Caenorhabditis elegans: one gene and its partner. The protein of the gene in region 2 purifies or fractionates together with the protein of the main gene of each other region. This does not show direct contact. Each region holds a gene or a part of one and is shown on either strand. Other genes may lie near its edges.

Region 1 (4,378 bases), on a different chromosome or scaffold from region 2:
GCCAGCGTTACAATCTTTGAACCAAAATTAGAAAATAAAACATAGCAGGCCCCATATTTAAGTTCGCGACAAATATGGGGCCTGCTATTCAATAGTTTAAATTATTTTTGTTCTCCAGGGTTTCATGAGTCGCGTGATTCTTGTTGAACCCGATTGGACGGTCCACGGTGAACATCTCCCAAATCGTTTTGTTCTTAAAATCACGTCTTGTATGCATGTTCTCAATGTTTTGGATCAAATGAATCTTCAAGATAAAAGTGAATCTGCTTTATGGTCAATTTTTGAATATGAAGCACAAGGTCTGCATAACCGAGAAGTGAATTTATACGAAATTATTGGAAAATGGAATATGGATGATGTACTTATGAGCCCTAAAGTTTTCTTTTCGAAGAAATTTGATTCTGAAAATTTGACGAAAGGATTTTTTGCAATGGAATATGTCGATAATGCAATCACAAGACATCTGTATATAAACTTAAAATCATACGAACTTCATTCGGTAACATATATATGCACATTTATTTTACAATTCGTTAGTGGACTTTTTTAGATATTAAAATCTCTTGCCGTTTTCCAAGCTGAAAGTCTTAAGTTGAACAAAAGAGAGCAAGAAAGTGTTACTGGATATGACTTGGAAAAGATTGTTGGAAAAATGTTTAGCCAGAATGGGCTCAACAGTATTTTTGAACAAGTCCGCCAGATTAACAAGGAAGAACTATCTGAAGCTGCAGATAAAATTGCAGTGTTTGGCGTTGAGCTGGTTAATTTTGATTTGGTGAAGAACTTGAACAATTATTTAGGTCAGCAGAAAATATGTTGATCATGGCGAATAAAAATGTTTTAGGAATCAAGAAAAATGTTTTGGTGCATGGTGATTTGTGGTCAGCTAATATAATGTGGAAAGAGAACAAAGACGAATTCCGTGTCGACAAAATTATTGATTATCAGGTATCTACAATAAATAACTCAATAATAGGTAGCTAGGCGTCGATTCTAACAAAAACTACAATTTTCTCATTCCCAAAACTCTTGTTCAACTGCGAATATTTCAAAACTACTCTGAACCTCAAAATCAAAAACATTGTAACCGTTGAACATCTTCCAGTCGATTCATTTGGGAAATCCAGCCGAAGATCTTGTGCGCCTGTTCATTTCTACACTCTCCGGTTCCGAGAGACAAAAATATTGGGAAAAGCTTCTAGAGCAATTTTACGAATATTTCATAGAAGCTCTTGAAGACAAAAATGTTCCATATACTCTTGAGCAGGTATATTTTAACTGATATTGAAACATTACATTTGATGTTATTTTTTTCAGCTAAAAGAATCATATCGTTTGTACTTTGTGACCGGAAGTCTTCTCATGTTACCGATGTTTGGTCCCATTGCTGAGGTAATTTCAAATTATTTTAAATAGAAATATTTGGTTTCCAGGTTAAACTCGCTGAAATGTCAGATCCAGATGAAGTTAAAAAATACCGAGAGATTTTGACCGAGAAAACAAAACGTCTTCTAAATGACATGGAACATCGGCACTTGTACACTAGAGAAATCATCAAAAAGTGGAAATAGGACGATTTCAAAAATTAATTCTTTGAATACGCTTGTTTGCAAAGTTTACACGTGATGTGTTATCACCAGTTCGCAGTTTAATAAATCTAGAAATACCGAATGTTGAGCATAAAAAATGTGTACCTTATCTATTGTGCAGGTGTGGTAAGTTCATGTGATACATGGCCTTCTGACATTGAAAAAAAAATTGAGATATTCATTAAGTACAGTTTCATAAATTAAATCTAATTAAAACGACGTTCTTGAGCTTGAACGGTTTGAAAACATAAAAAAAAACCTTTAAAAATTATAAAAAATAGATGTTTATTGAAAGTTAAAATTTTAAAGTCAAATGGTAGTTTATTACTAAAAAAATAATTATACAAAAGCTCAATAAGACTATCGGGGATGTCATTTAATTAAAGAATGCGGTGGTATGCTTACAATTAGGAAATACTTTTTCAACTTGTGACTTGAATTCAGCGTATGAACCGAATGGTATGATAACGTTGATAGCAGAGACCACACTGAACTCATCATTGGTATAAAAAGCAACTGCTTCTTGTCTCTTAAATTTACTTTCTTCCTGCGACTAAGAAGAATGAGTGAATCTAAAACTCTTATCCAAAATGGAGATGGTTTATTTCAAACCCATGTTCAGCTGGAAGATGTTCAAGAATTGATTAGAGATCAAATGAATACTGAAGCAAGACTTGGAGAGAAGACAAAATATACTGTTGTTGGAGATGGAAATGTAAGTTCAAACTATTAAAATATTCACAAGACGTTTATTTCAGGGATTTATGAGTCGTGTGATTTTGGTTGAGCCTGAGTGGACTATCACAGATGAGAATCTCCCGAAGAAATTTATTCTGAAAATCACATCATGTCTCCATGTCGTTGGTCTTCTTGAAAAACTAAAAGAAAGCGAACAGAACGTGATAAATGATGCAAATGAAGCTGATTTGATGGCCCTATTTGAGAATGAATCACGACTTTTTCATAACAGAGAAGTTAATTTGTATAAAATTACGAAGAAATGGAATAAGAATGATGAGTTGTTAAGTCCAAAGATTTATTTTTACAAAAAGTTTGATTCTGAGAACCAAACAAAAGGAATATTGGGCATGGAAGCTGTTGATGATGTAACTGTAAGACATCTCTATTACAATGTAAAACCATTTGAGCTGCACTCTGTAAGTTTTAAATCAGATTATCAAGTAAAACTCAATTTATTTACAGGTATTAAAATCGATTGCCAGACTTCAAGCGGAAAGTCTTCATTTGACTGATCAGGAAAAACAAAGTATTGCTGGATTTGATTTGAAGAAGATGTCAAACACAATATTCAGTGAAGAAGGCATGCAAAATAATTTTAAGCAGACTCGTGAAATCAATCCGGAACGATTAAAAGAAAGCGTCGACAAAGTTGAGATTTATGGAACTGAGCTCGTAGATTTGGATAAAGCTATTAACCTAAACAGTTACATTGGTGAGTTTTCTTTCACAAATTTGGATATATTTTACCTATCAGTGAAAACTATTGAGAGATAAGATCTTTATGTCAGGTATCGAACGTGATGTCTTGGTGCACGGAGATCTGTGGTCAGCGAATATTCTATGGGAAGAGAATGAGGGAAAATTTTTAGTAAGCAAAGTTATAGATTACCAGGTAAGTCCCCAAAAAGTTGTGTTTTTTATCTCTGTAATATTGCAGCTCATTCACATGGGAAACCCAGCTGAAGATTTGGTAAGACTTCTTCTTTGTACACTTTCTGGAGCAGATCGTCAAGCACACTGGGAAAGGCTTTTGGAGCAATTCTACGAGTATTTCTTGGAAGCTCTTCAGGACAACGAGACGCCATATTCACTGGAGCAAGTAAATGTTTTGTAGTTCATGGTATTTGAACAATGTTCTAGTTTTAGTTAAAAGAATCCTACCGTCAATATTTTGTTACTGCTGGTCTCTTTATGTTGCCCATGTTTGGACCGATTGCACAGGTATTGTCTGTAACGTATATGAGAAAGTTAATTGATTTCAGATGAAACTTTCTTATTCATCCGACAACGAACACGCAGAAGAGTATCGTGAAGTTCTCACAGAAAAAGCTGAACGGCTAATGGAAGATTTGGAACGTTGGCACTTGCACAGTAAAAACTTTAAGCAAATCTAAAATAGAAGTGTAAATGAAATTTCTATGTAAATATTATATAAGTTGAGCCAAATAAACCGTTTGTTGTAAATAATATTTACAAGATATACAGATGTATAAAAAATAATAATGGCAGGTAAATTTACAAACCAAAAACGAATAGTTGTATTAATAAGTTCCAATAAGGCGCAATAAATATTCTAGCTATTAACACTCCGGCAGTATTATTTTAAATATCTATTTTTCTTTAGACATAGCCTAAATCAAATAATTCGCCTCAAATATCCAAATATCAATTAGTTACACAAAAGATAGAAAACTTATTTGACCAAATAGCGTTGTTTTTAGAAATAGAAAAAAAATAATAATGTTTTGTAAATCCACATCTAACTCAGATAAAATTTAGTTAACTTCCCCGAAAACTTTATTGCACATTATAGGGGTCCAATATTCAATAAATTTAGAAAAACAACTATTTTAATAAACTGTACCAAAGTTCATAGCAATGCATTGAAAATCAAGGGAAAAATATAAAATAACGGAAAAAAGTAAACTCTAGTATTGCACAACTTTTTGTAATTTCACATAATGTGGTTTGTGTTGACGATCAATCGTGCGTAATCTATGAAATTGCGTCACTAAGTAAGTAAAGAAAAACAATGGAACACTCCCATT
Region 2 (8,062 bases):
GACAACTTTTGGCAACTTTTGCAAAACTTTTTGGCAATTTTGGAGAAGGTTCAAACAACTTTCCAAAACTCGGAGAATTCTGGCAACTCTCACCAATTTTTGACAACTTTCAGCCTTTTTCGGAATTTTCTCGGAAACTTTAGGCAATTCTCGGTGATTTTCGGCAATTTTTGACAATTTTTTCGCAATTTCACACCAATTTTCAACAATTTCCGGCAATTTTTGACGATTTTCGGCAACTTTTGACAATTTTTGGCAATTTTAAGAACTATTGAATTATTTGGCAATTTTCGACACTTTCAGGTACGTTTTGGTAATATTTTTTCAACTGTGGATAAGTTTTTGGCAATTTTCGACAACTTTTGACAATTTTCCGGCGATTTCGAAAACTATTTAAGCATTAGGAATTTTTCGGCACTGTTTTGGTAATTTTTGGCGATTGTGGACAAGTTTTTGGCAACTTTCGACGACTTTTGAAAATTTTTTTTTTTGCAATTTTTTGGTAATTTTCGAAAACTTTCGGCAACATTTGCAACATTTATACGCAGTTTGTATAACTTTCCAGCAACTTTTGGCAACTTTTGACAACTTTGTACAATTTTTTGCAATTATTCCAAAACCAGTCAAAAATTTGACATGAAAAAATTAATTTCACCTTGAATAATTTGCCATAATAACATCCAAAATCGCAGCCGGTGTGAGCCTCGGTTTTGTGCATTTTTCAACAAATGAGCCTTCATCTTGAGCAAAAGTCGTAACAATAACTGCTAAGAAATGGAATAAGCACATACGTATGTCAGAGAGGAAGAAGTTATGACGAAAAGAGAGAAGAATTGGAGGACCCCCGCTTTTGCTCCGTTGAAATTGAATTTACATATGCTTGTGTCAAAATATAGAAAAAAAAATGTAAAGCGGAAGTGAAGGGATCAAAGTTGAATTCTATTATCGTGTATTCAGGTTGGTTTTTGGCAAGTGGCCCAGAAAAGAGAAACTCGGCCACCAGTTTAGTTACTCACTGAAAAACGGACCAAGAATTATACAACTCATATTATTTTACGGCAATTGCGGTTCGGCAAATCGGCAACTTGCCGGTATGCCTTTTTGCCGGAAATGTTCAATTCCGGCATTTTTCCGGTTTGAAATTTGCTGGAATTTTTTACTTTTGGCAATTTGCCGGTTTGCCAGTTTGCCGGATATGTTCAATCAAACAATTTTGGCAGTTTTCTGGTTTGCCGATCTGCCGGAAATGTTAAATTCCGGCATTTTTCTGGTTTGCCAATTTGCTGAAAATTTTAATTTTGATACTTTGCCGATTTGCCAATTTGCTGGAATTTTGTAATTTTGGCACTTTTCCGGTTTGCTGATTTGCTGGAATTTTTTAATTTTGGCAATTTGCCGGTTTGCCTATTTCCCAGAAAAATCGTTTGCTGCCCATCCCTTGTTCAGCTCCTAGATGGGTAAAAAATTTATCCAGGTTGGCTGATTTGCAATCGAACGATTCAGCAGCTCCAAGATAGCTCGACGTTGGCGGGAAATTCAAAAAAAGGGATTTTTTGTTAAATTTGGAATATATGGATCTGAACGGTTCATTCAATGAACTTTATTCCAATAAAATCAGAAACTTTAAAACATTTCAATGAATAAATATTTCACACGTGTTTATGACTTTTGACTTTTGCATTCCCCATGGAACTTTCTCGAAACAAACAATTTACGTGGAAAATAAAACTAATCCTTGGTTTTCCATTATTAAAATATTTTCCGTGACATCCTTGCCCTTTTCGTCCTGCCCTACTTTCTTATCAATCTCTTCAATCTGTACAAAAATCAAAACTGAACTTCAATCAGTACCAGCTTTGGAGTTTTCTGAATAGAAAACTAATACTCAGGTAAGTTCTTTTTCTTTGTGTTGTGAAATCGACAATTTCTCGTTTCAGCTGTATCATAATGCAGTTGTTTGCATTTGGAATACCAATTTTATGGATTTTCCTGATTGTCAATGCTACATCAGCTACACATTCGTCAGTATTCAACAAGGATTCTCGTTTTGCTCGCCGCTTTAATCGAGCAGCTTCAGGTAATTTCTTGTAATTAATATTGAGCGCGTTCAAATAAATATTATTGGATTTTTATGCGCTTTCTTGATAGATCGCGGAGCTTACTGATTTTAAGGCCTTATAAGTTTCGTTAGTTTTTTATAATGAATGCTATTGAAATGCTATACGTTTCTGCTTGCTTCCACGTCATCTACTTCGTGGAGTTGTTTTTAAAATTCTAGTTGCACGCTGAAGAAATTGAAATATAACTTAGAAATAAAAGAGTTGCCACGTTTTGGTTGATGTGGAATCTGGATGACCTTTGATGATATTTATCTTATTTTTATTGCGCAATACTATTTGACTTTTAACTGTTGAAGTTTGCTCATGAAAACAAAACGTGGCTTCTCGTGACAATGTTAGAGAAACTGGTAGCAATAAATACCCGTAACTAGATTTATTATTTCTTCAGCCAAGACACTATCCGACAGTCTTCCCAACTTCAAATCACTTGCTCGTCTCGCCAATGGAATCTCGTTGGAAATTGGTTTGATTGATGGATCCATCCCCTCGGACGATGCAATTGCTGAGCTCCTTCACACGGGACCAGTCAAGCTTCAAGAAGTCATCAACTTGAACACAACAGCCATCGACACAGCAATCACTGAGTTGGAGAATCTTCCATCAAAGTTCAAAACTTCTCCTGAAATTACTGCAATTGAACAGCGGTTAGTTGTTTTGGAAACCATCCGGCAGGGATCTTTCATCAATGACTTCATGACTTGGAATGGAACATCAGAGTACACTGCTCTTTTGGAGGAAGTTCAAAAGTTGAATACTATCAATTTTAATTACAAGGGGTTATCAAAATATGCACAATCTGTAGAACTCGCTTTTTCAGATATTGAAGATAATCCCAAAGACAATTTAAGTGATAGTGATATTTTACGCTTCACAAGTTCTTTTGGGCATTACAAAAACAAATTTGAAAATCTCGAGGGCTCAGTGGCCAAGTTTCTCCCGCAGTTAGATGTTGTACATAATGCTAAGAAGATAGTGGATCAATTAGGGTTTGTGCAGTTGCTCCGTAAAGAGCAATCGTTCCGGGAGAAAATAGCAAACAAAGTGAACTTTGGTCAACTAGACTTAATGACCGCAAGCTTCAAGAGTGTTGACGAGTACGTTTTGATCTCCAAGTCGTCTCTTCCTGTCTTCAAAACACTCCAAAAGCTGATTAGAAGTCACACCGAGTTAGTGGATCTTTCACTTGTTTACGCGATTGGTTTACCCGGTGGTTCAAATGATTTGGAACAACTGTCACTGGTCTTTCAACAAGATTGGATTGCGGATAGGATTGGTAATAGTTCGGTGGTCATTAAAAATCTGAAAACTGCCTTTCAATATTTTGATACTTTAAAAAGTGCACTTGGGCTTGCTGAAAAATGGTGGAAACCGATGTCGGATGAACCGAAGAAGAAATCATTTGGAGAAGTGACGAATCTACAGTATTTCTTGGCCAACTCAGTCATGGATTCAACTGTTCCGGTACAAGTCATCAATGCTATGTTGGTGTGTGATAAGGGAAAAACAATGCTGGCAAACAATCTGAATCATTTGGAAGCTGCTTTCAACTCGATGAACCAGCTAAATGAAGCAGTCAAGAATCTACCGTCGTTCAGTTATCTCAGCTCTCTGACAAATATGTCTCGATTTAAGAACATCCTTAGTATCACACCTGCTTCAGCTGCTGATGGACGAGTGGTTATCAAAAAGATGATAGAAGAACCGACGTTTAACGAGACCAAAGAATATCTGAAGCTTCTTCAGTCAGATCTTGCTTCTCTTTCTGGGTCGATAGGTAGCATTTCCAAATTTATTTCGACTTTTGAAAACAATTTACCTGAAATTGATGAACATTATAGAACGGTTAACCAGAGTGATTCGGAATTCTTTGACTGCCTGAACAACATCACAGAGAAGGAACCAGTTGTATCTAATGCTTTAGATGTCATTCAGAAGATTAAAAACGTCTCGAAGTCTACATTGGACAGTGCAAAAACAATCAGCAAAATAGTTTCTGATTCTCGGCAACACTTGGAGATTCTTCAAAAGTCGGGTCAGTCTATGAAGAGTGCCGATGGACGAGAAGCATTGGCTCTGAAGACTTCATTCACTGATTCTCAGAACACTGTAAAAGATTTGGCGTTGGCTGTCAGAGGATTGACTCAAATCAACAAATTGATGCAGATTCGTGGATCCTTAGATGCTTTGAAAGGGGACTTCACTGAGATACAAGAAGCAGCTGCAAAGGCCCTGAGTTCTGAGAACGTCGCGGAAATCAATAAGTTGAATGGTCTAAGGGATGCTCTGAAAAAGACACTTGATGGAGTCAAAGCTTTTGTTACTGCAATTGGTGGAGCTCAAGGATCCAGAAGAAAGCGGGATACAGTGGGTTTTGCAAGCAATAAGAAGATCTTTGAAGAAGCTGCCAAATTTGTTGGACTCACTGGATTTGACATTCAAGCAATGCACAAAGCAGTCGCCGCATTGAATCCTACCAAGTTCGGAGCAATCGTCAGTGCTTTGGATGCTCTTGCCAAGTTGGATCTCGACTTTTCAAAGTACAACTTCAAATCAGCTCCAGCATCACTTCAAGCTTTGGATACCTTCTTCCTCCAGTACGCATCCAATTCTCAACCTCTGTCAACACTGCCTCCACCACCTCCACCGAATCCTCCACCAGCTCCTCAGCCTCCATCAAGTGCAGCTTCTCTAACTCCAGCTCCATCTGCTGCTCAGAATGCTCCATCAATTGCTCCATCAACAACAGAAGCTAGTGAGGAGGAATCTTCTGGAAGTATGCTATGGATTATCATGTAAGTTTTGGGTAGGAGGGAACTGACTTTTCTAATTTGAAATTTTGCAGAGGAGCTGTTGTTGTCGTTCTGATCATTCTTGTGATTCTGTTGTATTTGAAGTGCATGAGAAAGGAACCAAAGGAGGATCCAACTGTGAGCATAGCAACTACCACGACAACGGGGCCAGAAAGTAAAATTGATGATGATAAGCCAAAAGTTGTTGAGCAGCCAGAACCCAAGCCTGAGCCGGAAGGTAAGATAATCTGTGGCTTTTTTAGTGTATTCAAATATTTTTTAGTTGTGGTCACATCAGACATGGCATTCGCTATGGTGGATAATGTCGTAAATTCTATCGGTGCCGATAGAAAGCTACACAGGACTGCGGGAGAATTTTTCCATGAGTATTTTGAGCATGGATATGAAATGTGTAAGAAGAAAACGGGTAATCTATTGGAGAAGGATGTTTCAGAGAGAAGGTATGTTAGAATTCACGTTGAGTCTGCCTGCCTGCCTGCCGCCTACCTTGCCTACAAAGTGACTTGGAGTTCCAGCCAAAACGGTGTGACAATTAATTATGAAGGTGTTTAATATAGCTTTTGGTTACTAAAAAAATGAACTTGCAAAAAATTTAAAATGCGAGAATCTAAACTGCGACTTTGAGAGTTTAAGCCCAAAAAGGCACCTAGGCAGGGAGGTGTTACCTTCCCTTACCAATCCTTTTATTCCAGAAAGCAAATGTTCATTTGCTACCCTCAAACCATGCCAAAACTTGTCGACTTCAACAACGATCGTTTTATTAATGCGAATCTGATGGAAATTGACGGCGTCAAATGGATTATGACACAGGTGAGCTAATTTCTTTGTAGAATTCTAGTTAAACTCAACGATTCAGGGTCCAATGGACGGCACTGAACATGTTCAAGAAGAGAAGAAGAATGCGGAAAAGAGAAAGAGTGGGGAGAAGGTGTCGAAGAAGCCAATTGTTCCGAAGAAGGATACTCGTGAGAAGTTTTGGGGAATGATTGAGGAGTACAGAACGGGAGTTGTTGCTCAGTTGTGCCAGTTTAAGGAAGACGGAGGTTCGGGCTTCAGGGCAGGCGGCCTTCTTCAATTAACGATTTTTTCAGAGAACAAGTGTGCCGAGTACTACTCAACAGAAGTCAAAGGTGAAATGAAGTTTGGCAGATACACTGTGAAAACCGTTTCTGTCGAGGAGAACTTGGACCAATTCACTGATAAGCAGACGGCCAAGGTGTACACAATCGAGTTCCACAACAACAAAGTCTTGTAAGTCGTACCCTAGACTTTGAAAATACTAGGTTATAATTTGCAGAATGAAAGTCCCATTCCCAGTCAAGATTCTCGCGTTCTCTGGATGGCCTGATCACGGAGCACCAGCGGAGCCACACACTGCTCTTGACATTATCAAATACTGTGAAAGTTTCAAGACAAACGTACTGGTGCACTGCTCGGTTGGTGTTGGACGTACAGGAACACTTGTCGCTATCAAGTATGGTATTCAGTTGTGCTCGAAGCAAGAGGTATCGGATATGGCATTGGGTAAGGCGGAAAGAGAAATTTAAAAAGTTTCAGCTAGTATTGTACCTCTACTTCAAGCTTGTTTCGAATTCTGAAAATTAGACATTTTCTTCAGTAGTAGGCACATTGTAGGCAGGCTTGTAGGCATGGCATAATCGTTTTTGATAAGTAGTTACGTTTTTATACGTTCTGTCCCTTGCCTGCAGGCCTACGCGCTGACCTACTAGGAATGTTCTATAAATTTGTTAACAGGTACATGGGTTATACTTTAAAAGTAGGCACATCATAGGCAGGCCTTAGTACTACATTCGTACCTACCTATCACCTGCTCTCCTGCCTGCTACTATTTCATGCCTGTATGCCTGCCTACTAGACTAAATTTTCGTTGTAGTTTGAAGTTTGTAGTTTCCTTTTTCAGTTGTGGATCCCGTTCGTGCTTGCCGTTACGGCGCAGTTCAAACTGAGCAGCAACTGATCTACATGCTCCTCTGCATCACAAAAGCCTTGATGGAAAAAGCCGGTGTACTCTTCTGGGACAACTACAATGCTCTTCACTATTATTACGACAAACTCCAGACGGACTATTACGAGCCTTATCTCAAAAAGGACGAGAAGGACCCGGAACTGCTTGCGGCGAAGAAGAAGAAGTTTAAGGAGGATGGAAACAACTTGGAGGAGTATTTGGGGGAGAAGCGCAAAGAGTTTGATGAGAAGAATCCGGGTTATAGAGAGAAGCAACAGAAGGATAAGGCACTTTGGGATAATGATGTGAATAAGGAGTACGAGGAACGTCAGAAGTTTCAGGAGCAGTTGAAAAAGATCCAAAAAGAAAATGCCAAAAAGCCGAAGTCGGAGGATAGGCCGAGAAGAGGGGATAAGAGAAGAGGTGCAGCAAAGAAGGATGTGAAGGAAGAGGACAAGAAGAGTTTTTCTGTAATGGTCTGAATTTATTGAAATGTGAAATAAAGTATTTTGTGAAAGCCCGTTTATTGCAGATTTTAAGCTATGATTCTACAGTTGTCCAAAATTTGAACTTCGCGGCTTATCTCTGGAGGGACGAAGATGACATTAGAAATGAGCCTCGTTTGTTGTCGGCTACAGCTTAAAAGTGTACATGCCTACTGCCTGCCTTATGCCTTCAAGATTCTCATTTAGCGAAAACACAATTTTCCATTGTAGACAGGCACGTTCTCACGCCTCACTATGTGCCTACCACATGACTACCAGATGCACCTATTAAATGTTTGCCTGCCTACCGGCCTGACTTTAGGCCTGATAATATTTATCTGGTCATCTACGGCCTGCCGCCTACGTACTAGGCAATTCTGATGTACGCCTGCCTGACAACATGCTCAACAAAGTGACTACCCATCTGCTTGCCTGATGATTGCCTGCCTCCAACTCATTCTATTTGCCTGTCTGCATATGCACCTATCTTAGCCTGCCTGGCTAGGTACTTGTATAGGCACACATGCAGGTATTTTGTGCCTACACAGCAAGTTAAAAGCTTAAGCTATCAGTTAGTTCACGCTCAGTCGCGATGCAATTTTTATTTCAAATTTTGGAAAATAATTTTGAAAAATACAAATTTTGCGTGAAATTGTGGCACTTGTTTTCTTGCCAAAAATT

Evidence for each region.
Region 1: the proteins of W03F11.4 (region 2) and T16G1.4 fractionate together in Caenorhabditis elegans (co-fractionation; one large-scale study listed by BioGRID). This does not show direct contact.

What each region holds. Positions count from the first base shown.
Region 1 is NC_003283.11:12,939,558-12,943,935, reverse strand, and holds T16G1.4 (CHK kinase-like domain-containing protein), read left to right. Parts: upstream 1-2,088; 5' UTR 2,089-2,151; coding exon 2,152-2,304; intron 2,305-2,347; coding exon 2,348-2,746; intron 2,747-2,792; coding exon 2,793-3,042; intron 3,043-3,118; coding exon 3,119-3,222; intron 3,223-3,267; coding exon 3,268-3,429; intron 3,430-3,476; coding exon 3,477-3,551; intron 3,552-3,592; coding exon 3,593-3,724; 3' UTR 3,725-3,795; downstream 3,796-4,378. Other genes in the region: T16G1.3 (CHK kinase-like domain-containing protein), read left to right, coding at 119-499, 551-800, 845-948, 1,106-1,267, 1,318-1,392, 1,434-1,571.
Region 2 is NC_003279.8:2,234,957-2,243,018, reverse strand, and holds W03F11.4 (WSN domain-containing protein), read left to right. Parts: upstream 1-1,766; 5' UTR 1,767-1,889; intron 1,890-1,937; 5' UTR 1,938-1,947; coding exon 1,948-2,077; intron 2,078-2,508; coding exon 2,509-4,912; intron 4,913-4,962; coding exon 4,963-5,147; intron 5,148-5,192; coding exon 5,193-5,370; intron 5,371-5,622; coding exon 5,623-5,740; intron 5,741-5,786; coding exon 5,787-5,973; intron 5,974-6,021; coding exon 6,022-6,181; intron 6,182-6,227; coding exon 6,228-6,454; intron 6,455-6,851; coding exon 6,852-7,378; 3' UTR 7,379-7,417; downstream 7,418-8,062. Other genes in the region: lgc-51 (Ligand-Gated ion Channel), read right to left, coding at 656-789.